Lonchura striata: one gene and its partners. The protein of the gene in region 1 purifies or fractionates together with the protein of each later gene. This does not show direct contact. Links are inferred from orthologs where the notes say so. Each region holds a gene or a part of one and is shown on either strand. Other genes may lie near its edges. The genes, in order: ANAPC13, ANAPC7, CDC27 and ANAPC2.

The links.
Region 2: the proteins of ANAPC13 (region 1) and ANAPC7 purify together in Homo sapiens (affinity purification with mass spectrometry; 3 studies listed by BioGRID and IntAct, counting the BioPlex papers as one, with this or other methods). This does not show direct contact. The link is inferred for Lonchura striata from reciprocal best matches to the Homo sapiens genes ANAPC13 and ANAPC7.
Region 3: the proteins of ANAPC13 (region 1) and CDC27 purify together in Homo sapiens (affinity purification with mass spectrometry; 5 studies listed by BioGRID and IntAct, counting the BioPlex papers as one, with this or other methods). This does not show direct contact. The link is inferred for Lonchura striata from reciprocal best matches to the Homo sapiens genes ANAPC13 and CDC27.
Region 4: the proteins of ANAPC13 (region 1) and ANAPC2 purify together in Homo sapiens (affinity purification with mass spectrometry; 3 studies listed by BioGRID and IntAct, counting the BioPlex papers as one, with this or other methods). This does not show direct contact. The link is inferred for Lonchura striata from reciprocal best matches to the Homo sapiens genes ANAPC13 and ANAPC2.

What each region holds. Positions count from the first base shown.
Region 1 is NC_134612.1:6,432,258-6,439,762, forward strand, and holds the start of ANAPC13 (anaphase-promoting complex subunit 13), read left to right. Parts: upstream 1-4,489; 5' UTR 4,490-4,529; intron 4,530-5,187; exon of another isoform or gene 5,188-5,242; intron 5,243-5,625; 5' UTR 5,626-5,651; coding exon 5,652-5,750; intron 5,751-7,505. Other genes in the region: CEP63 (centrosomal protein of 63 kDa), read right to left, coding at 32-212, 1,780-1,823. UniProt on the Homo sapiens protein: Component of the anaphase promoting complex/cyclosome (APC/C), a cell cycle-regulated E3 ubiquitin ligase that controls progression through mitosis and the G1 phase of the cell cycle.
Region 2 is NC_134620.1:12,732,420-12,739,822, forward strand, and holds the start of ANAPC7 (anaphase-promoting complex subunit 7), read right to left. Parts: upstream 3,014-7,403; 5' UTR 2,877-3,013; coding exon 2,776-2,876; intron 1,725-2,775; coding exon 1,538-1,724; intron 1,059-1,537; coding exon 939-1,058; intron 1-938. Other genes in the region: ARPC3 (actin-related protein 2/3 complex subunit 3), read right to left, coding at 5,225-5,287, 6,012-6,106, 6,419-6,545, 6,816-6,884, 7,149-7,225. UniProt on the Homo sapiens protein: Component of the anaphase promoting complex/cyclosome (APC/C), a cell cycle-regulated E3 ubiquitin ligase that controls progression through mitosis and the G1 phase of the cell cycle.
Region 3 is NC_134627.1:8,879,623-8,886,802, reverse strand, and holds the start of CDC27 (cell division cycle protein 27 homolog), read left to right. Parts: upstream 1-4,168; 5' UTR 4,169-4,367; coding exon 4,368-4,394; intron 4,395-7,180. UniProt on the Homo sapiens protein: Component of the anaphase promoting complex/cyclosome (APC/C), a cell cycle-regulated E3 ubiquitin ligase that controls progression through mitosis and the G1 phase of the cell cycle.
Region 4 is NC_134624.1:4,365,101-4,372,675, forward strand, and holds the start of ANAPC2 (anaphase-promoting complex subunit 2), read right to left. Parts: upstream 3,003-7,575; 5' UTR 2,964-3,002; coding exon 2,898-2,963; intron 2,114-2,897; coding exon 1,494-2,113; intron 860-1,493; coding exon 727-859; intron 1-726. Other genes in the region: uncharacterized protein LOC144247406, read left to right, coding at 3,004-3,055, 3,203-3,402, 5,623-5,745. UniProt on the Homo sapiens protein: Together with the RING-H2 protein ANAPC11, constitutes the catalytic component of the anaphase promoting complex/cyclosome (APC/C), a cell cycle-regulated E3 ubiquitin ligase that controls progression through mitosis and the G1 phase of the cell cycle.

The DNA of each region.
Region 1 (7,505 bases):
CCAACCAAAAAATAGTATGAAACAAAGGTACCTCCTTTTGTTTTTCCTGCAGAGCTGCCTTGGCAGAGGAAAGTTCCTGCTCCCGAGCACTCAGACAAGCTTCCAAAGCCTGTGTCTGCCCTTCCCATTCAGATTTCTTGTGAGCCACCATGATGTCTATCTGCTTCATCAGCTCCTGCAGCTCGGCCGCACAGGAGGTCAAGAACCCACCGCTGGAGGGGAGAGAGCCTGGAGTTAAATAAAGCAAGTGCCACCCACCACGTCCAGGGTCCCAAACCAATGAAGGCAGCAAACACACTGACTGGCACAAGGCACCAACCCTGCACACACAGTGAGTGCTTTGACCTCTCTTTAAATCAGCTTGCACACAATAGAATCACAGAATCATTAAGGTCAGAAAAGACCTCCAAGATCATCAAGTCCAACCTTTTACCCAATACCATCCATGCCCATGTGCTAAACCACATCACTTCACACTTAGGCATTCAGCCTTTTGCCTTGGGTACTGTGCATTATGTAAGTAAACCAAAGCGTGTTTAATTCATATTTTGTATTGCCTTAACTGCTCTCCAGGCAGTGGCATTTTATAGCAGGTTTCAGTCACCAGAGGAATCACAGCCAAGCTATGAGCTCCCAAAACCAGAAGTTTATCACAAATGCAGACAAACTCTGAAGCAGAGGGGCCTGGATGACAACATGATAATGAAGGATCAAACCCTTGCAATCCATCGGGGAGCACAAGCTCCCTAGCGATGCCCAGATTTCTAATTTGGTGCATAATTATTGAAGCCAATTCAAGTAACTCCTCTAAAAGTTCCCAGCTGCCAAGACAGGGACAATATTAAGGTTTGCCAGACACAGCCCTAGAGGGTGGTGAATTCCATAATGATCTCTACCCCTTTAATTTGCCTGTCAAAGGGAAGAACTGAAAAGAAATGGAAATCGATAGGTTAAGGGATAGAAATTTCTCTGTTCCCCCAGGGCCTATGCACACTTCATTACTTGGCACTTTTTCTATAGGAAAAGAAATACTTCTTAAAGGAGCCAAAATCAGTCACATTTGAAGTTCACCCTGTCCTATGAGTTAACCAAAAATTAGCAGCTATTATGCAGAGCAGGAACATTCCCTTCACAGCATCTGCTAATATGTAGCAAATTCTAAACTTGATTTCTGCAACCAGCTCTCTAAAGAAGATACAGTATCAAATAAATTTGTGTCACATTCTCAAGGATGACTAGGAAAATGGCATCAGTGACTTTTGTTTCACGGTTGTTTAACACATAAAGCATTTTGTTCTGTTATTGTCACTACAGTCTCTCTCAGGGATCAAAAAGTCTAGAGATTCTCACCTCAGACACAACATTAAGGATTCACTCAGAGCTGAGTGGGACTCTGCAGTTTCAACACAAGCAGGAAATAATCAGATGTTTTCAGTGAAATCAGATAACAAAGTCACATCTCATTAACCTTGCGAGGCTGTTACAAAATAAATATTTATTCACAACTCTATTTACTACTGCTCCTGATGTTGGACAGTAAGAATAGTTTACAACAACAACTGAGAAAAAGAGGCTGAGGTTTCAGGAAGATGTACAACTAAATTTCTGACAATTAAGACTATAAGCAGGGTTTAGCACAGAGCCAGCTCCCCCAGTGACTTCGCTTCTGCAGCAGCTGAGGGCCACTGCACACTTACACCAGAGGATTTATTCTGAATAAGAGGCAAGGTTAACACTTAAATCATTTGGAATGACTGCTGTGTACAGTTGCATACATACCTCCCCTGCCCATTTCTTTGCATTCCTTCCAGCAAAGCCTCCATCACTGAATCCTGGTGGCTTCAGTACTAGGGAAGTACAGGAAAGCAGTGGTCACCCATGGTAATGCACAAACCAGGCTGCTTCTCCATCCAACTGCAGGAAAAGTGGAAGCCCAAAAAGCACAGAAGTCAAAAAGCATACAAAGAATATGGAATTACAGGTGAGGAAAACAATGGCACCTTCATGAACTTACAAGCCAAACAGAGGAAAACAGATTTTTCTATCAGAAAAATATACCCAATGCTATCATCCAACACTACCAAATTGAAGTGATATAATCATGTGATCTAATAAATTCAGAGAGCAGCAATTAGACTCTGCACTTGTGTGAACTCAACAGAAGGACTGGTAGATCTACTGGGAGCACCAGCATGTGGAGAAACAGGAACATTTGGATTTCAAAGTTTGTCACTTCAGAGAGAAAACACCAGCAAGTAGCAGTAAGAATTCATCCATAAATTACATATTTTCCAGGCCTCTATTATAGACTAGCTTAAAGAGACCATGTAGTTTACCACAGCATTCAGAACACACTGGCTCTTCATACAGTTGTGGGAATTTTAAGAAAACATAAATTCCTTAAAATTTCCTCTTAAATTATGAAAATAAGTTGAACAGCTTTATAGTAGCAGTACATTGCTTCAGTTAAAAATTCACCTTTTAAGTAACAAACACATGCATACCCAAAGAAATTTCATATTGTGGTGAAAGTGAGAAGAGTTTACATTAAAGCCAAAAATGGGGAATAAAAATTTTCCACGCAACCAGAGCCAGGAAGCCAGAATTTATTTCAATATCTCCTTCATGAAACTGCAGCTAACATAAAAATGGTTAACTTGTCCAGAGCTATTAACACAAATTTCTGTTTCCAAAATCTACACATTTTCCAAGTACTGAAGATTAATTCTTCCACCATCTTTCCTCAAAGATTAATATAACATTATTAAGCAATCAGCAAAAGGGGAACAGGTCACAGCAAGGGAGACTTTGACAAATGCAGGCTCAGCTTCATTCTCTTTCCCAAAGAATCTTCTATCGTGCTCCTACAGCACTTAAAAACACAACTCAGAGATTAAAACCTGTCCTTGGGAGCAGTGTTTTAAACCACAGCCATATAAAAAATGCACAGAGAAAAATCCTATTCCTATTCTGACACTGTTTCATCTGTCTTTGGTGCTGTAACAAAACTCAATCAGTATGCAGAACAACTTTGTGGTTCTGCTGAGGGCAGGGTGCTGAGGAGAGCAGATGAGCAGATCCCCTGAGCTGCTGACAGCATTCCAAGAGCTCTCCAGGTGGCCACAGCAGACATTAGACAGTAGCAGCTCTCCTCTTTCATTCTAATCACACCTACACAGAATCAATTTTCAGTGGGCAGAGAGATGAGGAGACAGACAGCATAGAATTCCAGAACAGTTTGGGTTGGAAGGGATCTTAAAGCCATCTCATGCTAAACTGCTGCCATGGGCAGGGGCACCTTTCACTATCCCAGGTTGCTCCAAGCCCTGTCCAACCTGGCCTTGGACGCTCCCATGGGAGGCACAGCCACAGTTGGCATAGCCAGATTTTGGGGAAAAGCCTTAAAATCAGACACCTCTAGCCAGTTCTATGCTACGTACAGTTTGCTGACTTAGTATTACATTTTGGCCTCTCATGCTTGCAAGTTGCAACGTGCAAGTTACAGGAACCTGAGTAAAGACCCAGAAGAGGAAACAATCTCCTTCATTAACTACAGTTGAAGGAAGGAAAGCTGGCTGATCACCTCTGAAAGTGAAGAAATGTGAAGTATTTGAAAAAAAAAAAAAAAAAGTCCAAAACAAGACAACACATTTAAAAATAAAAAAGGTTTAGCATTCCAGCTCAAGGCAGAACTGTAGCAGAGTGAAGTGGAGAGAACTTTACAATACACAGGAGGACTTAAGAATAGTGCCCATGCGACAAGACTGGGATTACTTCGCACTTAGAAACACAGAAAGATGCAATCTTAAAGCGTTGCTGGAAGCATGCTTACAATGAACACAAAAGGAGCTCCCAAAAGCAATACCACGGGCGAGCTCCGCTTGCCAGCGGCAGGAACGGCACCTGCGGCAGGAGCCCGAAGTGAACCAGCCCTCGCCAGGGCGAGAATCTCAGAGTCACTGAGCTCGGAAAAGTCCTCTGAGACCATCAAGTCCAATCTTGTGACCGATCCCCACTCTGTCACCCAGCCCAGAGCACCGAGTGCCGCGTGCAGTCTTTTCCTTAAACACCTCCAGGGATGGGGACGCCGCCGCCGCCGCCCTGGGCAGCCCTTTCCAGTATCTAATCACCCGTTCTGTGAAGGAATTGCTCCTAATGTCCGGCCCTGGTGCCGCTTAGGTCCGTGCAGCGGCCGGGGCCAGCGGGCCCGGCCGGCACTCCCCGCTCCCGCCGCTGCTCCCAGCCGCAGCCGAGCCCTCACAGCGCCTGCCCCGCGCCCGCCGCGGCACAGCTCCGCTGCCCGAGCCCCTCCGGCGCCGCGCCCCGGGGAGCTCCGCTGCGGGCTGCCCGACACCCCGGCGCTGGCTGGCCGAGCCGCCCTCCTCCCTTCCTTCTTCCGTTCCTTCTTCCTCCCTCCCTCCTTCCCGCCTTTCCCACCCTGGCAGCGGGCACGGCCCGGCCCCGCCCCGGCAGCGCTGCGCATGCGCTGGGGCCGCGCCTGCGCAACAGCGGCCGCGGAGATGGGCAGGGTAGGGCGGGCTGGGGAGCGCGGGGACAGGGGGGCACAACCCTGGGATACAGCCCTGGGACACAACCCAACCCTGGGACACAGCCCTGGGACACCGCGGGGACACAACCCAACCCTGGGACACAACCCTGGGACACAGCCCTGGGACACAACCCAACCCTGGGACACAGCCCTGGGACACAACCCAACCCTGGGACACAGCCCTGGGACACCGCGGGGACACAACCCAACCCTGGGACACAACCCTGGGACACAGCCCTGGGACACCGCGGGGACACAACCCAACCCTGGGACACAGCCCTGGGACACAGCCCTGGGACACCGCGGAACACGGAGCCGTGCTGGCCGGGAGAGGCAGGGAGCGCAGCGCGCCGGGGCTGGGGTGCGCTCAGCCCCGTGCCCATCGCCGCCCACATCGCGGCTCCGGCAGCCGGCGAGTGCCAGGCCTGGCTCGGTTTTGAACGAGTGCCCGTTCTCTCACACCCGCCAGGGTCGGGCTGCCTGCTGCTGCCGCCCCGCAGCATCACACCGGGGCGAGGGCCTGAGGTGATCCTTCAAGGAGGGCAGAGTACAGTTAAACAGTCTGGAGTAATTATAGGAGATGCGGGTGAAAGATGGGTCTCGTTTTGCTTCTCTTTCACCGGTTTCCTGCACTTCAGGTTCGGGCAGAATTCTGGGTACCCTGAAGTCCTTTGTTGTGACTCTCCCAGACAGGTGAGGCACGTCACTGCTCAGGAGCTGTAAGCCAGCAGCCAGCAAAGGCTTCTGAGCAGCTCTAGGTGCTCAAACTCACTCAAATTAGACTTCTAAAAGTCAGTCAGTAGATATAAAATACATGTAAATATCAGTAATAACCATCTGGTTTTATATATTAATTTCCAGTGCATATCAGTCTGCAATTCACTTTGATAGAGTTCTTTTCAGATGAAGTTGTTCTATGTGGTTATAACCCTTTTTTGTGTGGATTAGGGAAATCAAGGTATCCTTGTAAGTTTAAATTTCATATGGATTTCATCAAAACTGGAGCAAGCCAATAGTCCAGACTCCAGCTCCTTGGCTGGGGATGTTGCTAAAACAGCATCTGCTTTGTGTCACAGATTTAGCTGCTCTCGCCGCTGTGACGATGGACAGCGAGGTGCAGAGGGATGGCAGGATCCTGGATCTGATCGATGATGCGTGGAGGGAAGATAAATTGCCCTACGAGGATGTGGCCATCCCTCTGGTAGGTGAATTGCTACTTATCAATCTGAGTTAAGGCTGCTGCGTTCATCACAGTCCCTTCCAAGAAAAGGCACAGAATGTTCCTCGTGGTGCGGCTAATTTGTACAAGAGGCTCCTGGATCTCCACGGAAGATCCAGTCTCTCACGGAAGGGACTCCTTCTGTGCCCTATATGCCAGTCATTCCTGAGTGCATGAGGACATGGATGCTTCTGTTGCTTGTCCCCTGACCAGTTGCTGAATCCTCTCAGAACTGGAGTTCCTTTCCCATTGCACTCTCCTAGGTTTGGCATCAGGGAGAAGTAGAATCATCCTTTTTCTCTGCTTCCCTTTCTTGTTCCTGGTGTTTGAGGTACTTTCCTGGTTGTTGGGAGAGCAGAGGATCAGTCTCACATACAGTTCCAGTCTTGGTTACACTTTATATCTGCTTCCTGCAATGCCATTAAAAGAAGCTGAGACATTTTCGTAAGTGTTTCAAAGCAGTCTTTTCCAGATTCAGTGTTGCTGTTGGAAGTTCCGGGACAGCAGTGAAGGACTGGCAGGTGCAGCAGGACTCTTGCCTGTGGTGATGTGTCCAAGGCATGGCACCTCTCTTTTCATCCAGGGTACAGCTGCAAAGTCAGAGAGGGGCAGCAGGGGAAAAGCTACTGCTGATCCCACAGAGCCCAGAGCTAAAGCTTCAGATCTCCCACACTGACACCTTTCCTTGGCTATTTTGAAACTTACAGGGAAGTTAGAGGTAGCTGAGGATTTTCCCTTTTTCTCTCTGGTACACGAGCTTTACCCCAGCTAGCTCACATAAAGCAGCCGTGGGGATTGTGGGGTTTCTTTCAGCAGAGAGACATCTCCAAATTTGTGGCATGGTTCAAGCGTCAGCCCTGCCACCACTGGCTTTTCAGAGAGGGCGAGGAGCAGCTGCACAACTCAAAGTCCATATGTACAGCACACATTTTCCTGCCAAGAGTTGGGCTTGAGGGAAGCATCTTGCAGAAGCGTGATTCTCAGCTAAAAGAGCACAAACCCTCCTTTGCCTTTATTAGGCAAGCCGAGTATCATAAACAGGTTCCTTGTTGACAATTGCCTTTACCCTGAGTCCAAACATTATTGTTTCTTCCCTTAGAGCCATCTCGTGATGGCTTACAGTCACATACAATGACAGCCTCAGAGAAGGAAGCCTCACCAACTACCAATAGAAAGGCCTGGCTGTGGATATAAAGATCCCCAGAGATGGGATTGGCTCTGATCACATAGAGAAAACAGCATGAATTCACAGGGGACTTACTCAGGGACATTGCAAAGGAGCACCAGAATGGCTGTGAAAGTGGTATTTGAGCCTGTCCTGAGAATCTGCTCCAGTGCTTAATCAAGCCATTTCTGGGAACTCAGATGTGTTCAAATCATTCATTGTTTTCAAAGCTGAAACACTTTATCTAGCTCCAGCTGGGATTTCCAGAGGAAATTCTAGAACTCTAAATTCTAGAACTCAGAATTCCTGCCCAAATGGTATCTGGCAGAATAGCACACACTCAGTGTGACTACACCAATACAGCAAGACAGAGAACAAATAATAGAAGGAAGTAAAATGAAATCTGTTAAACTTTCCTTCCCTTTACTGTGCTGTGAGCAGCTCTGGGGCACACCTGGCAGGGGGTTCTGGCTTCTGCTGTTGATCCAGCACAGCTACACCTGACTCCAGCATACAGACAGGAAGGACTTCTAACCTGCCATAAGAAAGTAACATTTTACAGAACCATTTGT
Region 2 (7,403 bases), on another chromosome or scaffold:
GGAAGCTGTGGCTTCTTTCTGAGTACAGAAATAAAATCTACATCTTTTGTATGTGCACTGTGCACCTTAAAATGTGTGTTTTGCATCAAAGAAGTCAAAAGATGGGCAAGTACACGGTGCCAAGAAGGATCTGTATATCCATTAATCAGTCCCTTCCAGGAGTCCCTCTGTGTCCATACAAGTGTTTGAATTAGCTTAGCAAGTCAGAGAAAGTTTCCATTCAGCTCCTGAAAGGAGCCATGATTGACCAAAGAACAGAAATTATCTGAGCTCCTCACAACACAAGTAGCTGGTTTCTGCTGCAGCATTTTCATTTGCTGGTCTATACAAGTAAAAAGTTTGCTTTTCTCAATCTTTTCTTCTTTTTCTGTTTTGCAAGTTGGTCAGAACACTCAGACATTAACTGGAGTTTAAGCCATGTACACTTTTAGGACAATTTAACATGAAACACAGCTGACTGATCTGATGTGTTAATCTTTTAAGCCCTTCTGAGTAACAGAGCCAGCGAGGAAAGACTCCACAGATTTGGCACTGCAGACCACAAAGGGATCTAAATATTTAACATTATCTAAACTGTTGTTGAACAGGATTAAAAGATTTTAAAAGATGGAGCACTAGCAAACTTTCTACTTGCCAAAGTCTCCAGCCTTTCAAGGATTTGGCATTGCCCCAACTATACAAGAAGTTAATAAAATGCACAAAACATTTATTTCCTTCTTTTTTTTTTTTTTTTTTTTTTTTAAATTCCTTCTAGCAGAGAAAATACAAAATTGTTATTATTTTAAAGAAAAGGGTCCATATCAGCTAATTTAAGATTAGGAAATGATACCAAGCAATATTTAACTAATGAAGAAGACATAATGCCATTAAATCTACATAATATGTTCTACCCTATATACACTGACCACGAGGCTGTGACAAAAACCTGCCAGATTTACCTTTGGAGTTCTCTGCCTGGAAGGAATCCCATCAAGAATAGCAATGGCATCTTTATCTTGCTTCAGCATTGTGTAACATTCAGCCATTTTGTATTTCACTTCAATTTCTGATGGTAAACACTGAAACAAAAAATAAAATATTTAAATATGATGTTGGTTCAATCAGGTATGAAAAATTTCATAAGGTTTCCTCATAAATATTTATACTGTGTTGAAAAATAACTGGTGCATGTAAGTTAACACTGCAACTCACTACTAGTTCATATTATTCTTGTATTCAAATTAAAAGTACAAAGTACACATACAGAAAAATTTAATGCTGGAGATCATTTTAAGTTTTGCATTAGAAAGCACCACAGATATTATCCCACTAATTAGCCTTAAATGTCAGGTTTATTTGATAAATGAACAATCTAAGGTGGTTAAAAGACATGTAAAGGTGATGCTCAGGGATGTGGTTAGTGATGCACTTGGCAGAGGATTCAGCCTCAAGGATCTCTTCCAGTGAAAATTGAGTCAGCAACATGAAATGGCAGGGGGAACGTGATCGCTTGATGCAGCACATTATCAATTAATAATTATTATCAATTCTTAAATACCTGGCTTTGGGGTGTGGATGCAGCATTCCCAGTAGAAGGCCTGACTTTGGAGGTTTTACTTAAGGCTTTTTTCTGCTGTAAGGCCATGGTGTACTTGCTGACAGCATTCCTGTACTCCTTGTCATGGAAGAGGGAATCTGCGTGGTAGACAAGGAGCTGGTACTTCTGAGAGGGAGAGAACAGCTCCCTGCAAGAAATACACACAGAGAGGCTGAGATCAGATGGCTGCAAAGGAATCCAAACCTTACAGATCCAAAGTATTTGTAGCTTTGGTTTGTGTGGCTTCCATTGCAACTGCTGCAGCTCCTCCACTGCACTGAAGGACCACTGAGTAACAGCTTTGACTCCTCACACAGGGCTTATCTCACCAATTTCTTTTATCTGTAAACAAACAAACCCAACAGCCACTCCTGACACCTCATCAGCAACAGCAGCTCAATGTTTGGCTGCTTGGGCACAGCCCTCATCCTTTCTGTAACAAGCATGGGGCTGTAAATATCCATTACACTGCACCAACTTTCTCCTAGGATTCATTCACTTTTTATTAGGTAAGGATCCAGCATTTTGCCCATTCAGATTTTAGAACAGGCTTTTGTTTGAACTCAAGTTTAAAAGAACAGTGTTTTGTTTGGACTCAGGTTTAAAAGGCAACCCAGCCTGTACAGCAGTTGTGGTCCTAGTCCCTGTTCCTACATTATAAAAACCCCTAATATAATATTGTTCTGTGTGCAGAACAAATGACCCAACTGTGGCCTTCCAGGACCTGAAGGGAGCCAACAAAAACCATGGAGAGACAATTTATAAGGACCTGGAGTGCCAGGACAAGGGGGAATGGCTTCACACTGACAGAGGGCAGCTTTAGATTGGGTATCAGTAAAAATTATTCCTTGTGAGAGTGGGAAGGCCCTGGCAAAAGTCGTCCAGAGACGCTGTGGCACCCCTTGGAAGTGTCCAAGGCCAGGCTGGACAGGGCTTGGAGCAACCTGGGATAATGAAAGATGTCCATGCCTAAGGCAGGAGGGCTGAAACAAAACAATCTTCAAGGTTCCTTCTTTGCTGATTCTGTGATTCTCTGCCATGATACCCACGCTGTAGTGGGCACCACAAAGGGGCGGTGATGCCGATACCCGAACAGAGGCGGGCTCCATCCCCGGCAGGGACAGGGACAGGACAGGGCCCGCCCAGGAGCGGCCCCGCTCCCTCACGCCCCTCACGCCCGCTGCCGGCGGGGCACTCACGGGTTATTGCCGCTCATGGTGAGGAGCAGCCCGCTGAGCAGCCGCACGTTGGAGTGCAGCCCGGCGGCCGCCATCTCGCGCACGTGCTCCACCACACTCATGCTGCCGCCGGCGGGGCGGAGGGGACAGGACGGGGCGAGGGAGGAACCGGGAGAGACCCCGAGCGAGGAACCGGGAGAGAGCCCGAGCGAGGAACCGGCCCCGGCGCCGCCGCCGCTCCAAAATGGCGCCTCGCAGGGGTCCTCGCGCGCCGCCGCCCGCAGGCGGCCGAGGCGCTGCCCGCGCGGCCCGGCAGGCGCGCGGAGGGCAGCCCGCGCCGAGGGGCCCTGGCGGCGGCGGGCCGGGCGTGAGGGGAGCCGCTCTGCCGCCAGGTGTGAGGAGCGAAAGAGCCTTCCTGCTTCCCGTGGCAATACTGGGGCACCAGCTAGGTACTCATATGGAAATGGAAGTTAGGTAATTGCTCTGTTTGTTTTCTCTACCCCACCCATGCTGCCGTTCTAAGACGGAAACCTGGGAACCATGGGAGCGTGTTTTCGGGGATAAGGACACCCTCGATGGAAACCTAAACACAGTAGAGGGGGCTGGGCAGGTACGGTTCGCTGGCTGAGGAAGAGGGAACCACATCCCTGATCGACGTTTGACCTGTCACTATCACCTACATAAGACTGGACTGGAGTGGGCTGTGGGAAGCAGGAATAAAGAGGCAAGATTTTTGTGGTGTTACCAGGAGGAAAGGACAGTCTGCTGATGAGGACTTCAGCCACAGACTGCACACCTCTTCACCCTTCAGCTACCAGTGTGCCACAGAGACTTCAGGGACAGACTCTGCACGCCTTCTCCCCCTTCGCCTACCTGGAAAAAGCTACAACAACGGGGGTGAGCTCCGTGTCGAGCCCCCTGCCCAGCTGATCTTTTTAATAAAGAGCTGAACATTAATAAAGGCATAAGCCCTGTTCATTTCACCAGACACACACTGTCCGTGCCTCCACAGCTCCTGAGTCCAACCCTTGTCCTTCTGCCAATATGCTGATTGTTGGAGAAAAACCTTTCAAAACCTGTATTTCTTCTGGGAAATGCCTCACTAGGCCTTCTGTTAACTACAAGGATAGACTGAGAGATGAATAATAAACTTTATTTTCCCACCTTTGTTACAGAAACATTTTAAAACATGGGCTACACTATTCCTAAAAATGGAATCAGTGAGAACTTTCAGTTTGCACATGCCATCACTGCTATTGGGAGAGGAACGCAGCTCTCAGCAGACAAATCCAGCAGGCAGCAAAACATCAGCACTGGGCTTCAGGTAACACTAAAAGTGTGTTAGTGCTGTGTGGTGACTGTGACACGCATCCTGCCATTGAGAGACAAAACCTACATAAACTAAAAGTGGATTTGTATTCTTCCAGAAATCCCCAGGACAGCCACTTTTTACCAGTTTGTGAGTGTTTGAATGCACCATCAGAAGGCAGCCACAGACCCAGCTGTGTGGGATCTGTGTTACCCTGTAAAGGCATTTTGGGAGCACAGCTCTGAGGAGACAGACTGCTAAACAAACAGGTAAATGGCTACAAACTGCAGGCCTGGCACTTATCCCAGTTTTCAGTGAGAATGATTCACTTCCTACTGATTAATGTTACACAGTAATCATGGAATCACAGGATGGTTGGAAGAGACCTTAAAAATCATTCCACCCATGGGCAGGGACAACTTCCACTATCCCAAGTTGCTCCAACCCCCATCCAACCTGTCCTTAAACACTTCCAGGGATGGGGCAGCCACAGCTTCTCTGGGCACCCTGTGCCAGGGCCTCCCCACCCTCACAGGGAAGATTTTTTTTCCAGAATCCAATCTAATCCTGCTCTCTGCCAGTTCAAAGCCACTCTCCCTTGTCCTGGCACTCCAGGCTCGTGTTGGCTCCCTTCATGTCCTGGAAGGCCACAATTAGGTCACCCCAAAGCCTTTCACCAAGGAGAAGAAAACCTCTTTGATTTCTTTGAAGGCTGTCCATAAGACACACAGTAGTTACCACGTTCATTACAAGCAAATTTTATTGAAAACAAGGTAAAAATCACTGCACTGGACAACACAGCGTGAGAGGTCTGTTTTCCCTGGACACACGACACCCAGACTCCAGCCAGCAGAGCAATGACACAGCTCCCCTGCCCCACAGCCAAGCCCACTTCTTCTCTTAAATACAAGCCCTGTTTTAAATGCTGTAGCCACGACTACAAAGCACCTTGCATCTGAAACAGCACGTTAGAAATCACTTATTAAGCACCAGCTTAATAATATTTGCTTACACAACTTATCTTTTTGTTCTCCCTCTATCACTCATTGACAGGTTTGGTTTTTTCTTTTTTTTTTTTTTTTTTTTTTTTATGTATCCAAAACAAAGGCAAAAGACAAAACATCTTGCTGTGGAAATGCTTAAAGTTGTTGCCACTTTGCTTCACTGCCCAGGGCCTGAGAGACTCTTGTTCATGAACTGCCTCTTCACAAAGCAGATCCACCACTGCAGAAGGAAGTACAGAGTCAGAAAATCAGAAGTGGTTTCCAATGACTGAAGTATTCAATCTCTGACACAAAACAAATATTTTACACATAGTTTTACACACTGGTTTCTACTTAAATTGAGGTGAACAAGACAACAGGAATGGACACAATGAGTTCATATTACAGGACTTATGGGAAATTCTACTTTGTCTTATTTTACTTTTATTGTATTTTATCATAAATGAGGGATGCATCAGGAAGCTATGCCTTTGAAAGTAAATTTGCCTAAGTGATTTTGACACTAAATGCAGTCACATTTGCACATGAAACATGTGAACACTCAGGAGGTGACTCATTCATTGATTAGCGATTTTTTCAATCTGGACATGAGGCAAAACAATCGACTTCAAAGCAGCTCTCACATCAGAGCTGCAGGGAAGAGACACAGCACCTCTCCTGCTTGTGAACTCCATTTGCAACCCCAGCCACGAGCAGATGTGCAGTGCTTTGAAGAGCTGAACCAGACACCTCTTATTACTGCCCTGCTTTTGAAAGCAACCCAAAGTGGCATTCACTGTCATATCACATTAGATTAAACTTATTGATAACTTGCAGCTGCCATTTCACTGCAGAATCAGACAGGCTTGGCTGAAGTTTCTCACCCCCTTGTCTCACTTCTCACGTAGCTGAACAAACTCCCCCAAGCTCTCACTAACTCCGTGCTGATGCCACTGAGGTCTCACCTTGCTTGGCTTGTCGCTCTGAGGATCAAACACTTTGTCACAAAGGCGAAGGCCGGTTTCTTGCCTCAGCTGCTGCAGGTAGGCCCTCATCACCTCTGAAAGCAGCACAGCAAAACCAAGCTAAACTGGGCAGCACCAACCCAAACTGGATTTAACAGGGACACATCAGACATCGCTGCTTAAAGCAGAGAGGGAGTTTCACATCTGCAGGCACTCCCAGCTGGCTGAGTTGATTAGCTCGATTTATCTATAGAACCAGGGGAATCCTCAAGGTCAGAAAATCCAGCTTGTGCTGCCTTCAGAAGACAGACTGCAGATTTAGAAGATTTAGGTTTAAAGTAACTAACTGCAGTCATAAAAGTGCAGTTAATCAAGTGTGACCCTCAGAGGCCCTGGGTCAGCCTTACCTTCCTCCTGCTTGTTGGCAGGTTTGGCATAAATGGCGTTCAGTGGAAAGCCAGGCTCCCCTGGGATTGGGAAGTTAGTGATTCCTAGTGTGTACATTTCCTTCTCTCCCTGGCCTTTGGAGTTGCACTGGAAGAACCAGGCAAACAATGGGTTAGCAGTTATGAACAAAAACTGACACAGCATTAGACCCAAATATTTTACAAATCTGGAATATGAATACTCATCAAGAGCAACACAGCACATCCACAGCCTTGAGGTATTGGAGGCTCTGACAACTGGGACTGGGGTGAACAGGATTATCTGTTCCCCTGGAAGGAGAATATCAGGAAATCCTTTCCTTAGAACAATTCTCAGAACAGACTGTTTCCCACCTGCACAGGAATTCAGTTTTCTTACCTTTTGCAGCTTTTTCAGGCACTCAGAAATGTAGAGGGTCACATAGATCAGTGTTCTGTCAGCTTCATTCTGCAAAACAAGAGCAGGAACTCTTAGATGACAGCACTTTGTGGAACTGATAAAGTCTGAAACAGGAATTAATTCAAGCCATTTTGGGCTATAGTTTCCCCATGAGAGAGAGATTTGCAATTCATGACATTTACCCAACTTTAAAGATTAAGTGGAAGGGGAGTTTTTGTGATCTTCTTAAAATTACTTCCTTGAAAATAAATTTATATTCACAGAACCAACCCTCCAAAGAACTAGAATATACTCAGTATCTCAAAAAATTACCTTAATTTCATAATTTTTGAAGAAAACATTAGCTTTGAAGTAGTAGATGGCTTCATCTATAATATCTGTGTCCTTAGCTATAAAGAAGAGATAGAGTTAAGGAGTGCTCTGTTACACTACATTTGTCATAACTTTTACTCATTGAAATATATAAATAAGGATTACTGCAAGAACAAAACCATGGTATTTACAAAAAGCAGAAGTCAGCACCACGTAACAGAAAACTTCTGAAACACCATGAGTTCAGACTGTAAT
Region 3 (7,180 bases), on another chromosome or scaffold:
AGCAGCCACTGAAAATCAATATTTTTAAACATGCATCAGTGAATGCTAAGAAAATATTTAGTACTTAGAGAGGAAATTTCCGAAATGAGAAATATCAACATTCCCATTAATGTTACAAAGAATAAGGAAAATGTACCACAGATTTTCTTAAACTTTTTCACATTCCTAAAGATCTGCCTGAGGAAAACAGAGAAACATTGCCAAGGGGATCAGGTTAAGTTTCTTTGAGGTTGAATTATCCCTCTAAAATGTATTAAATTGAAAAGAAAATCCAAATTGCTGCCTGGCCCCAGCTTCCCCGCCAATTTCTTATTATTTCATTATCTATTTACTTTTCTAAACATTTCTCCTATCCCTCAGCTATGTAAAAGGCATGAGGCTGGGGGGGTGGGGCAGGGGGGGAAGTAAAAATGACCTCCAGATAGTGCTAAATACAGAAATTAAACATTTAAAAATCTCTTCCCTCACAAAATCTCTTTCAGCATCAGAAGGTTAAAATGCAGACAGACGGAAGTCTGAACTTTGAATGCTCAGCATCCTTTTTATCTCCTTTTTAATCCATTTCTTTCTGGTTCCTGTTCATCAGCTCAGCAACATAGATGGTTGGGTGGCAAAGTCTGACAGAAGATTTAATTCTTCATATAACTATTTGCATATAAAGCTCTTTTAAATGGTGTTGAATTACAGCTTTTGACATTTTGGGTTCATCTGAGAAAGAGTATTCTGAATGCTCTCATCCCAAAGATTCTTTGCATTCAGACCTCCCCACTTATCTCCCAGGCTCTCAGAAATGCTTGGACCCACCTGAGCACCATGAAGAGCAAGACTCCTCCATGCATGTCCTTTCCCTGGGATGTTTTGCCTAAAGCAAAACACACACCACGTGTGTGTACCTGAGCCTGGTACTCAGTGCATCTGCAACTAGGTTTTAAACCTCAAGTTACTCTTTTCAGGTTTTCTCTGTGACATTTGTCTCATTAAATTTTATTCCTTTCTCCCTTAAATGGTTTGTCTGCCTTGGCTTGGGGCTACTTGTTGATACGGTGGGTGGAGGAGACCCCTTGGTCTCCACCAGCTCTCAGAGGTAACAGGGTATTTCCACGGAGAGGGGGAAAAGGCAGGGAATGAAAAGGAAGAGTTCAGACTTGTAAGTGAGGATCATCAATGCACTGCTTGTCCCAGTCAGGAAAGACCCTTAAAACCCCCAAAACATCAGAAAAGCATGAAAAACATTCTTTGTTCTGTATCAATGAGACATCCAAAAGTCTAGTTTTGAAGGTTTTCAGCAAGTTGACTCCTGCTGAATCAGCAAGGGAGAAGAAAAATGGGGAAAGAAGAGATCCAGGCCCAGCCAAACTGGGCCAGGTCCACCCTCATGGCATGGGGTGAGGGCCCATGGGCTGTGGGTAATGTCCTGCCTGGGATGGGCTCCCTGGACAGTTCTTCTCCAGGCAGATGGTTCCAGCCAGGAGCTCTCAGGGGGCTGTGTGATACAAGCTGGTGGCTCTCTCCCTCTTCCTACCTGCAAAGCAATCTTCAGAGCATCACCACAAGCAGTGAATAATTCATGACACATAACTCAGCCTTCCCATCAGCAGAACACCTGGGAGCAGCAAACACTTTCCTTTGATTTGTTCCTTATTCCAATGTCCTCACTCTGTCTTTGACTAGAAATCGAAGGCATTTTGCTCTGACATGTTGACTTTGCTCGTTCCTGTGCAGTGGCTGAGTAACAGCTGCTTTCAATTCCCACTGTTTGATTCTACTGCTCATAAAAAGCAACACAAGCTGTTTATAGATGCAAGATTAGATTTGAGCAGCTCTTTGTGCTATTCCTACAGCTTCCATTGGGCAGGATCTGGGCACCTCATGTTTTTAATGCACTCTGTGCTTTAACCTCCTAGAGGACCGTGGTGATGGGGCCAGAAGGAAGCCTGCTTGCTGCACGCTCCAGGGTCACGTCTGTCCCTGTCACTGCTGTGGCACTGACTCCTGCAGCAGAACGTGCTGTGGTAGAGAGGAACTGAGCAGAGGAGAGGTGGAAATCCACAGCAGGGACTGGGGGCCCTGGAGCTGCGATATCCCTGCTATAGCAATGATATCCCTGCTGTAGCCACAATATTCAACCATATCCTACTAGCCTTGATATCCCTGCTAGGCGTGATATTCCCGCTACAGCTGTGATACCCCTGCCCTGCAAGCCAAGAGGCTGCACTCTCACTCCTCTGTGCAAACCTTGTGTTTGAGCCCCCAGCTTCCATGGTGAAAGCAGTAACACTGAATTAAAACCAAAGTGAGACCTGCAAAGAGACAGGAAGCAAGCAGTGGGAAATGACAGAACTACAGGAAAAGAGGGAAGAGCCAGCCACACTTTAGGGATCTGTTGTGTCTCTTTATAAAGCAGAGCTGGCTTAGCAAAGCAGGCTGGAATGATGCACTTGAACAGGCTCAGTGTGTACGTCTGTACCTCTGCTTGTGCCTCCATGCCTCTTCCCCTGGCAAGGCTGCTCCCCTCCTCTGGAAAAGCTGAGGATTCCACAGAGAAAGCAGCTTTAGTCCCATGGACATTTATAAAAGCATCTGTGGGTGCCAGCGAGTGACCCCACAGGCAGAACTGCACTGTAGGACTGAGGAGTCTCTGTAAATCCAAATCTCCAAAGACAACAGCAAATGCTGACCTTTTACAGTTTGGATGTTTTACATGAATTCCAGGGGACTCTGAGGAGAGGTACAAGGAGCCCCCACGCTCTGGAGAGCCTGTATCTCCTCAGGCTTGATAAGACAGCTTCTCATACCAAAGAAGGTCTGGATGTCAGTTCTGTGCCCTGGGGAATGGGAGAGACAGATGGAGCCAGCTTTCATCCCCAGGAGGAGTTATCTGTAGTGCATGAGATCAGGAGGAGGGTGAATATGGACTGTGCTCCTTGAAAAGCTCCTTCCTGGAGCCCCAGACCACGTCACACACCACCATCATCACCATCAGCAAGTGAGGCCAAAGGCCTTCAGAGGAGGAGACACTTCATGTTGCTGTCACCCTCCTTTTGTCTGGCAAAATGACTTGGATCGACCTGATTAGGAAACCAGGTGTCCATCCCAGGGGACAGCACTACCCTGCAGTTAAAATTTATTTGTCTCAGGTGAAGGATTGAAGAAAGCTTTGCCTGCTCACACCCTGAGCGCAAACACCCGCAGATCTGCTGCCAATACCAAATGTGTAAGTACACCTTCCAGAAGTGCAGGGGAAGAGGGCAGGCTGACCCCTCCTGCTCCACACACAGCTTTTGTTCTCAAATAAAGATACAGCCCCTGCCCACGCGTGTTCGGCAGCACATCAGGATCTGACCAAAGCCCTGAGCAGAGTCTGAGTTAGGTGTGTGTGCATCGGGGTTACGGCAAGCCCACAGCAGGATTTGGACAAGGAAGGCCTCTGCTAGCTGCAGGCAGCTATTGATAGGTCAGTATATTTAATAAATTGGGGTTTACTTGTACATCTTTATTCCATTATTTTGCTAAAGCTTTGTGTGTCAGATACTGTAACGGGCAAATTACCTGCTTTGTGGTCTGCCAGTTTTACTCCTGGATATGAGGACATCGGGAGGAATTTCTTCACAGAATGTTGTTAAACACTGGAAGGGGCTGCCCAGGGAGATGTCCAAGGAACGACGGGAGGGGCACTCAGTGCTCTGGCCTATGGCCAAGGCGGCTCGATGGTTTGGGAGGTGTTTCTCAACATGACCCTGCGATTTCTGATACCGCGGCTGGACGCACCGCGGAGCCCCTCAGCACGGAGCCCTCGGGGACAGAGCCGGGCCGCGCTGGACCCGACACGGGGAGCGGGGACACGGGAGCCGCTGGCCAAACCACGCGCACCCCGGGAGACGCAGGGGTTCGCGACAGAGCTGGGCATCCCCCGAGCCCACCCTGCGGCACCAAGTGCAAGTTCTGCGGGCCACGGGCGCTCCGGGGGACGCGCCACACGCTCGTCCCTCTCCGCTCGGCTCGGCCATCTCCGGCTCGGCTCGGCCATCTCCGCCCCACTTCGGCCATCTCCGCCCCACTTCGGCCATCTCCGGCTCGAGCAGTTTCCTCCCGGCTGCCGAGCGCGCCTTTCCCAGCTGTTTTCCGTCGACGCTCGGCTCTTTCCGCCTCCGCCTTCGGGTATTTCCGGCGGGCGGTTCGGCTATTTCCGCCGCCGGTTCGGGCGGACTCGGCGCCCGCCGGCCTCGCTCGCTCCGGTAACGGTCGGTGCGGGTTCAAATGAGCCGCGGTCGGGCCGGGCCCCGCCGTGACTCGCTCTGAGCCGGGCCGGCACCGGGGCCGCCCCGCTCGGGCTCGGCGACCAGGAGGCGGAGGCCGGGGAGAGCAGGATGACGGTGCTGCAGGAACCCGTCCAGGTACCGACCCCCGGGCGGCTCAGGCCCCAAAGCCTGGCCCGGCCCGGGTTAGGCCGCTCCGGGGCCGGGGCTCCGGGCCGCTCCCGGAGGCCCCTCGGCCGGTGGGCCCGCTGGAGCTGCAGCTCCTCCGCCCTCCTCCTGCCGGAGCCCGCCGAGCTTCCCCTTCCAGCCTCCCTGCCGTCCCCGGGCCGGCCGCGCTCGCCCCTTTGCCCCCGGGGCCCCGGGGGGAGGTGCCGGGGTCCCCGCCGCTCCTCCGCCGACCCGGCTCCGGGAAAGGGCCCCGCCGATCCCCCGGGAGACCTGTTGATACTTCGCTCACCTTTCTGCGTGTGCTGCCGTGTCGTGTTTAAATGCTCGCAGCGTGCTCGGATCCCTCTGTGTCGTGCGAGTGAAGGACGTTCCTTCTGCCCAAGGAGTTGGATTTTTCGGATTAATGGGAGATCTAGGAGAGAAAATAATGCAAATTTCATTTTTCTCTCGTGTTTCAGTCTCACTGCAGTTACTGTGATGGGTTTCCTGTTCTTGAGCTCAGCCTTCCCATCCAAAAGTCGTGATTCACGGAATTAAAAGCTGCTTTTTCTTTCTGCAGTTCCTGTATGCCCATTCTCTAACTATTAATAATCTTCATTAATCAGTCATCTCATTCACATTCCCATTCTTTTTAAGTCTATTTTTAGCATTTTAGCAGGATGTTTTGGGCTTTTTTTCTAGTTCCTGGCAGCAGTGTCTTGTTGGAGTATGACTGTGTTCTGTGATGAACATAGTGAGAATTCTTGCTTTTGGCTCTTTTCTTTCTAATGAAAAGGTGGAAGGGGAGGAAAGGCTCCTGTGGCAAACCATCCTGCTGACTTGGCCCTGTCTGTGGCGGATGGTGACAATGAGGGCATTCTTGTAGACCAGGGGTTTGTGTCCTTGATGCCACCGCTCTCCTCATCCCCTCTGAGAGCAAGGGTCGTGCAGTGCTGGAAATGCTTTTGGCCACCTGGTCCCTCTCCTGCCGAGGCCATCCTACATCACTGGTGTCAGCTGTCGAGCTGGGCTGGTGGTTTTGCACCAGCTGGGCATTCTAGGAAAACATGGGATTAGAACAGAAAAGGAAGCAAGATCACACTGCAGCGTGAACGAGTGAAGCTGACAGGAAACAATACCAAATGTTTCCAGTGCTGTGCTAACTAGACTGACCAAGTGAAAATGTCCGCTCTCCTGAGTGCTCCCTGATAGAAATGTGGGGCCTTGTGGTAATTCAGCAAGGTGAAGACCGCTCTAATGCTCTGTTCTGCATCATTATGCATCCAAAACGTTCTCCATTCTTAACCTCTTCCCAGCTTGGATGTTTTGATGAGGCTTTGCTATGTTAATATATCTATTTAGATTCTGCTTTTAAATGACAGATCATTCCTTTAGCAGTAGTTCTGCTGCTGTCAGTTTTACTGCTGTTCCTTGCTTACAGGAGTTACTGGTAAGTTTAGGAATTATTTGTGACTGTGTGAAGTCCGTTGCATTTCTGAATTCCCAGTTTAGCTGAAGTCCACATACGTAGCTCTGTTTTTGTAATATTCTTAAATGAAGTGATTGGGAAAGTTGACACTAGTTCTGATTTTTGTCATTGCAGAGATTGTTCCTGTCTATTTGTCTGTTCTCTCCCAGCCTTTCAGATGTCTACAGGGCTCAGCATTCCAGGAAAGAACTGTCATCCTCACATCCTCACAGCTGTGATGTTACTTATTTGTCACAGCGTGACAGATAAATAACAGAATTTGTGTTTGTATGTAGCCTTAGAAATGTTGTGCTTCAATTACATGAAATTCATGCACCAGGAGGCATTCTGGCCACTGGTTAGGTTTTTGCTAACTTTTAAAATTCTTTTCAGTTGAAGAGAGTGCCAGAGTTTACAGCCCTGTGCTGTACTTCCGGATACGGTCAATTTAAAACCCTTCAGCTCCAACATAAATCCATGTGTCCCATGTGCTAAGAAACAGGCTGGATGCCTTCCAAATACTTCTGAAAAACATCTTGGAAAGAAAATGAGCACTTTGCTTGGAATTGAGCTGTTCAAGGTGATCATCTGCTGTGACTCACTGGAATGGTGCTTGAACTTGGCTGCAAACTGCAGGACCAACATGTTCAGTGGGCAGAGTTTGTGTAACTGGGGAATGCAGCACAGCCCATCCTGGAGCTTTCCTCCTCCCTGCCCACCCCGAAGACTGAAATCGTGGCAGAATCTGCTTAGCGTGGCAATATAGGCTAAACAGCTTGGAAAACAATTTCCAAGGTTGTATAACTGTCAGACGAGAACATCTCTTAAGAGCTATTTGGCTTAGATATGAAGTGACACTTGGACAATGCACAGGATTTTCTGGGTAGAAGATGGACCTTTCTGAATCTGATTTTATTTTCCTGCCCCCCTTTCTGAAGTTGCCTTGCTGCAGGGCTGTGTATGGTAGTTTTGGAATTCCCTGTTAATTTTGCATTTCAAATTAATTATTTTTTAAAAGAGTGATTAAGACCTGGAGGTTCATCCTCTCTGCAAGCACACTTGAATAAAATGTGGAAACACTTCCAACTTTTCTCATTCATATGAGGCAGCCCTGAGAACACTGTTCTGTGTGGTTTAGCAGTTGTGTACCACTAGTGCTGTGTATATGCATTGTGCTTCTTCTAGAATAAAATAAATTACTGTGCTATATTGAGATTAATGTTCCTGTCCTAGACGGTGGGCAAGAAATCCTCTTTTTTGAGACACAGTCATGGTTTAGGTATCTGTTCTCATGAACAATTATTGCTGC
Region 4 (7,575 bases), on another chromosome or scaffold:
TCTCTCATCCTTGCTTCTAATTTTACAAGGGAATATGAAAGAGGACTGAAAACAGCCACAGAAATTCTAATTTTGGCCTCACTTACACAGAGGGAAGACCCTCTGCAGGCCAGGTGACACTTGTTGATCTTGTGGTTTGTAAACTGGAACCACAAAAATTCCTTCATTATTGCAGAGATCATGAGGTGAAATGTCATAGTCCTTCATGCACAGGTCAGAACAAACCTTCCACTCCAACATCAGCCAAAATGAAAAGTTTTAGCCACCTCTTCTGCTAGGCATGGTGAAGTCATAGCCCTGGATCAGGTGTTTTAAGTTGGAATGTGGTTTTAGCCTGAGCAACAACACCTGCACATCCTTATCACTCTCTACAACTTCCTGAACGGTGGCTGTAGCCAGGTGGGGGTTGGTCTCTTTCTCCAGGCAGCACTGACAGAACCAGAGCACAGAGTCTCAAGCTGTGCCAAGGGAAATTTAGGTTGGATATTAGAAAGTTTTTCACAGAAAGGGTGATAAAGTTCTGGAATGCTGCCTGGGGAGGTGGTGGAGTCACCATCCCTGGGTGCATTTAAAACAAGCCTGAATGTGGCACTGGGTGCCAGGGTTTAGTTGAGGTGTTGGGGCTGGGTTGGACTCGATGATCTTGAAGGTCTCTTCCAAGCCAGTGATTCTGTGAATTCTGTGATCTCCCAAGGAGGACTCTCACTGCCCCCACACCTGCCTTACCTCCTGGAACTCGTTGAGGAAGGAGTGCTCGTACTCCCCGCGGCAGCGCTGCTCCATCCTCTCCTCGATCATCCTGTGCAGGATGGTGGTGACAGCATCAGCACTCACCCTCTCCAGCAAATTCAGCCGGCGGCTGTGGGCACAGGGACACCGTCAGGAGCGTGTAGGAGCAAAGGCAACAGCAAATCAAGAAAATCTTATACCTGAAGGCACCACCCTCCCTGTACATTCCACAGAGGCAGGCCCAGCTTGGGCCACATGCTCTGACAGCCCACACAGATGCACTACATATGTAACACACATATGCCCAAAATGCTGGGCTCTGGAGCAAACAAGTAACACATGGCACTACTGCTATCCCATCTTCTTTACAGACATTATATAAAGCCATCAAAAGCTTTTTCATTTAGAAGAGTTTCATAGAATCAGAGAATGGTTTGGGGTGGAAGAGATCTTAAAGATTACCTAGTCCAAACCCCTGACATGGGCAGGGATACCTTCCACTGGTTTGCTTCTTTGTGGTCAGAGGCCTCAGAGCAAGAGGAGGATATTCTCATATCCAGGGAGAGGAATTTTCTGTCTAAAGATCTGCTCTTCAACCACCAGTTGAAAGCAGAAAGTCCATGTCGAGTTCTCTACCTGCCACCACGAGACAGCCTGACCTCACACAGCTCCTCCTGTTCTCAGGGACCAATAAAACCTGCTACTGCTCCCCATCCAAACACCCCTTGCTCCGAGTGACAGCCACCACCCCATGAGATACCTACAGAATGTCATTGAGCTGCTGGAACTTCTCCATGGCTTCAGGGCACCAGCACTGCTCCCTCTTGCTGCTGCAGCCTGCACAGAGCTGGCCCTCTCCGCCCTCCTCTGGGTCACTCTCCTGCTCGGTCTCACTCATGCTGCTCTCACACTCATTCATTCCATCTTCTCCTTTCTTCCACTGCTGCATGTATATCCTGAATGTGCGGCTGTAGAATTGCTGGATCATGTCCTGGAAGGATTTGGTTGTGGAGAAGAAGAGGATAGCTTTGAACATGGTGTAGACCTTCTCCTGCAGCGTCTGAGCGCCTGTGCCCAGGAGCAGGCCTGCCTTGGTCCACTGCTCCAGGAGCTCCAGGCTGTTCAGGTAGGGCTCCAGGTGGCACTTGAGCAGACTGAAGGCGTCCAGGAGCAGCGCAGCGCACTGGGGTTCCTCGGCCGTGTTCTCATACTGGCCAATGCAATTCCAGAACTCGGGGCCGATATTCGCCTGCAGGTCAGTCTGCAGCACCTCGATGAACCACTCCTCCACGATGGAGTGCAAGTCATAGCACTGCAGCACGTCCAGGGCTGCCCGGAGCTCGGCATCCTGCAGCGGCCCTGCAGCTTCAGGTCTTGGGGTTGCCTGGAAAATGGAGGGAAAATGAACTAAGCATTTGATGGAGCACACAGGGACTCTGCTGTCAAACTGCACTGGGGGGATGCTGCTCCTCTGTGGTGATCTGCCGGGGTCTCAGCACCGCTGGATGCCAGCATCCCCTCCCAGTGCTCACACCCGCACACATCATTGCTGTCCCTGCGGGTAGCTGCTGCAGGACACAGGTGCTGGTGGAAATGCTGCGAGCCACCCTTGGCTGCCCAAAATGCTGGGGGCTCTGGAGCAAAACCCTTCCTTGGCCGCCAGCTCCCTCCGATGGAGCGGGAGCAGAGCCACAGCAGGGCCGGGCAAGCTGTGGCCTTTTGGTCCCGCTCCTGTTTGGGGTGACAGGGAGAGAGATGGGGCCGGGGCCCTTCGCTGGCAGCCCCCAGCAGACACCACCCCCACACCCAGGAGCCCGTTCCCCTCCCTGCCCCGGCCGTTCGTCCCTCAGCTCCGGCCGTTCCTCCCTCAGCCCCGGCCGTTCCTCCCTCAGCCCCGGCCGTTCCCCCCAGCAGCTCCGACCGTTCCTCCCTCAGCCCCGGCCGTTCCTCCTCCCTCAGCCCCGGCCGTTTCCCCCCAGCAGCTCCGACCGTTCCTCCCTCAGCGCCGGCCGTTTCCCCTCAGCCCCGGCCGCTCCCAGCCGCCCCGCGGACGCAGAGCCGCAGAGGCCCGGCCGGGGAGGAGCCGAGGCCGGAGCATCCCGGGCTCGGCGGCTCGGGGCTGCCCGGGCCCGGCGGAGCGCCGCGACCCCCGCGCGGTCCCCGCTCACCAGCCCCAGCGCGGCGGGCGGCACCAGCGCCGTGCTGAGCGTGTGCCAGGCGGCCGAGAGCTCCATTCGGGCCGCAGGAAGGGGCGGAGCGGCGCCGGCCGCCACGATGAGCGGCGCCGGGGCCGCGCTGCGGGGGCACCACGCGGCGCTGCGGGAGGGTGAGCGGGCCGGGGCCGGGGCCGGGGCCGGGGCCGGGGCCGGGGCCGGGGCCGGGGCCGGGGCCGGGGCCGGGGCCGGGGCCGGGGCCGGGGCCGGGGCCGGGGCCGGCCGGGGTGGCGGGCCCGGCTGACCGTGCCGCCCCGCAGGGCTGTCGGAGCTGCGCGCCCGGCGGGACGAGCTGAGCGGGCGGATCCGGGCCGAGGAGGTGGAGCGGGGCCGGCTGCAGGCGCGGATCGCGACGCTCACCCGGCGCTTGTCCGACACCAGCGAGAGCCTGGCGGGGCTGCGGTCCACACGAGCCCACATCGACCGCACCATCGCCGAGATGGACATAGCCTCCGGGGAGGTACTGACAGCGAGCAGCGCCGAGGGCGCTCGGCGCGTTCTTGAGGCTGCAGGAACGGGGGGGACATCGCCCCGAGCAGCTGCCTCGGGAGAGGAGGAGGAGGGACGGCAGCGATCTCTGCTGTCGGTGACCAGGGACAGGACCCGAGGGAATCACTGAGTCAGAATAACCTGAGGTGGACAAGGATCACCCAGCCCACCCCTGTCCCTTCCCAGACCCCCAAAATCCCACCCTGGGCATCCCTGGCTAAAGGCTCCTGGAGCTCTGGCAGCCTTGGGGCCGTGCCCATTCCCTGGGCAGCCTGGGCAGTGCCAGCACCTCTGGGGGAAGAACCTTTCCCTAAGGGTGTGTCTGGGAGGTTTGGCATATACACATCTGTATGTATGTACGTAAGTGTGAACTCCTGCTGTATTTACCTGAAGGTCGGTTGGGAGCACCTCGATGAACCACCACTCCTCCCTGGGTCGTAGCACTGCAGCCAAAACAACTTCCCAGGCCTGGGATGCAGCTCCAGCATACAGATCCCATCACAAGAGGGTTGGGTTGTGTTTTAGTGCTGCTTGGGCTTGGGCAAAGTTTATTGTCCAAATACATCAAAAATCTCTTTTGGAACAGACCCCTAAAAATTACCATCTCAGACCCATGGTTTGGGGGAAAGGAGGAAACCAGTGAAATTACACTGACCCACAATCCTACTATTCAGAGAACAACGGTGCTGATGGAGTTGTTGGCTTGCCACTCTTCCAGCCCAATATTTAGTATAGTTTCTTTCATTTTTAATGGAACAATGTCATTAAAAGAGTCAAATTGTTGGGGTAGTAAAGGGTGGGAAGGAGGCAAACAGCACGAGGGCTGGCACTGTCATTTTTGTTCCTGAGACAGCTCTACTCATTCCCCTTCCCTGTGTGTGTTACTGTCAGGCAGCACTTGATCCCCACAGACAGGGCCACAGCTGAAGCCACTTCTGTATTACACACCAACAGCTTTTATTTCTTTAAAAAAGGATTTTCCCGGCCTCTTTTCAGATAAGTTACCATCTTCCTTCTCTTGGTGACCAGGCAGAGTTGGTGTCAGAAACACTATTTCCTTTATTAGCTGCTGCCTAGATTCTCCTTCCATTTGCATTTTGAATGTGACCAACTACTGTCAGCTCCTTTTCCTCTCCCGAAGTCGGTGCTTTCCCCTGGCAATTCCTCAAGTCCTTCAAGACCTGATGGTTTGAAGTGAAAGGGGAAACTCTCATAAAAATTTAAAAGCTTAAAAACTATGTTGTAAGTACACAAACAGCCCCTTTAAAAAGAAACCTTACCTGAGATCCAAGTCACACCCCCAGCCTACAGATGAATTCCTGTTTATTGAAATGAACTGACACTCACAGGAGGTAGAAAGAGGTGGTGAGGAGGAGATGCTGGTGTTGTACACACAGAAATTAACACAGTTCCTCTCCTGGTTTGTCACTCCTTGCCTTCTGCCAGCCCCCACAGGATTTCACCTTCTTCCAGGACCTCATCCTGTGGGGCACTCCCTCAGCTCCTCTCAGATCCCTTGGTGAATTCCACAATCTCACAGGAATATAAATTATTTTTGGGACTGTAACCATCACATTTGGTTACAATTGTCCACTGTGTTAAAATTTTTAACTGGTGAGGTGGACAGGCAGCAAGATCTCCTAAATATGCTGTAGTCTAGAGCATAGGAAGTAGGGATGTTACATTATGTACACTGTGTGCTAAAAATAGGAGAAAATGAATAACAGATCTAGTCTGACATAAGGTCACTGTAGATTTCAGTTAGTCTTAAAGTTGGAAACCCAAAATGTGCAGTTTTAATAGTGGAAAAGAGTTGAAACTGGGTCACCTGAGCACAATTTAATACTGGTCTAAAAAGCCCAGATACCAAATCTCCCTTAAAAAAATCCACCCAACCAACCAAAAAATGCCAAACCAAACAAAAACCCCCCAGTCCGCTTCAGGAAGTTCTCTGCCTTGTGCTCCAAAGCAGATAAATTGCTTAAGGCCTTTCATATTCAGAATATGAACACAAACCAGAGAAATTCTCGCACAAATATTTCCACACTGAGACAGAATAACAAATCACCAGGAATTAGAGGCTGAAAGACTGGATAGCCCCTCTTGCTGCAAGGCAGATCAGCTGAATTGGAAGGGAATTCATAAGAGAAACAGTTTATGTAAAAATAAGCTATTTTTATTTCTTTCCCAGATACTGGACAATTCTCAGACATTGCTAGATGTCATGAAGAAGGAAATGGGGGATCTTGGTAAAGCCATTGATCCACAAAACACTTCATTAGGACAACAAATACGTCGACAAAAGCGTTCCTAAACTTCTTCTTCAGCCTGGAATGTCCTGTTGGCCAGAGAGAGCTGCTTTGTGGTGCAAGGATGCCACATTTAATAAAAGCCTGTGCTTTGCAGAAGCAAATTTTCCTTTCAGATGTGCTTTGGTATTAGTCAGAGACCCAGTAAAGCAGATCCTCCAACACTACATGTCAGGGTAGGCATTTACACACAAATACCTGTGCTTCATTTGGAGCACAGCGATCCTGAGGCACATCCCAGGCGGTGACCCATCAGCTGATGCTCCTGCCCTCAGGACTGCCCTCACTCTGCTTTGCCCTGGAGTACCTGGGCAGGGATTAGAGCAGGAGGCTGGGAAGTGCAGAGTGCTGAATTAGCTCCAAGGTGGAGCAGGATCACCAGGAGAAGGAGCAGAGAGTCAGCAGCACGCTCTGCACTCCCACACCCCCGAGAGCTGCCCTGCCCACAGGGCTGCAGGCACAGCATTAACTCACAGAGAACCAGAGCAGTGTTTGAGCTGCAGGACAGTGTTGGCTTTAGCATTCTTTAGCATTCCTCATGGATCCATAGGAGAACTAAGCCAGGGCTAGTTCAGATTCCTTGTCCCTAACTTGAGTTGAAAGCAGCTTTGCTTTACCACCTGCAGTTTTGCAAGAAATAGAGCTGCCTTAAAGTGAGCTGGGCTTTTCAACAGGGGAAGATGCTCACTAGGACCATTTTTGCTAGAAAAGCTGTGCTGAAAACTCACCCCTTAAATCTAGCTGTCAGCAGCAGTCTCACATTTTCCCTCATTCTACACCAGTCTCAGCACCTTGCCCTGATTTTATTAACAGGAGAAGCCTCAACACATGGAACTCCATGGTCCTTGTGTCAAGTCCCAGGCAGATGCACTGCAGACACATCTTGCTCCCGGCAAGTCACACCAGCAGATGATCTCAGATTAGCTTGGAATGGACAAGGAGGTGCAAAACGCTTCTTTGTGGCCCCCCAGCCAACATCTAAAACTACTGAGTAGCTCTTTTTTTTTTTTTTTTTTTTTTTTTTTCTCCTTATCTTTCCAAAAGTATTTAGGCACCCAGGGCAGAAGGGAACGGCTACAAATAGGTATGTCCTAACATTTAATCCTGTGGTTTTCAGTAGAACAACCTTCCCTTGCTGCTACAACAAGACACCAAACCAAGTGCAAGGTATGCAGATCATTTTCAGTCCACAGAGCAATGTCACTTGAGCAGACATTCATCATCCAAAATAGACAAACCAGTAACCATCAAATTTAATCAAAGATACCAGCCTGTTCGTTTGGATGACGCCCCACTCATTCCATAAAGCCCAAAGAGGCCAGATCTGTTCTCACCACATCTCTTTTAATCCCAGAGTACAAATCACATTAGCAGCACTGCTCCATCTGTTCCAGAGTGCAATTTTGACCCTGAGTTTACAGTAGTAGAAAACTTGAATGGAAGATTCTAGCAGATTCCTTTGCATATTGGCTGCATTAAACAATTACAATAGAACTATAAAAATCCTAGAAAAAACAAAAATAACCCACATTCCTTGTTCAAGTTCTGCAGAAGGAGTGAAACGTCCCTCCTGTGCTTTGACTAGAGGAGCAGAGCAAGTGTGGCTTGAAGGATGTAACCAAGAGAGATCAATCAGATTTGGAACAAAGCAACAAGAGGAACTGGCAAACTGGAGCACAACCAGCAACTCCCAGAGACTGGATGCCAGAGTTGGGAAGGACAGACGAAAGCTATGGCCAATGTTTGGGAATCTTCAAGAGGCTTGAGACAGTCTGGACACTTCTCACTGATTGGTGCAGAAATAACATCTAAAGCTAAAGGCATTCATTGCTCTT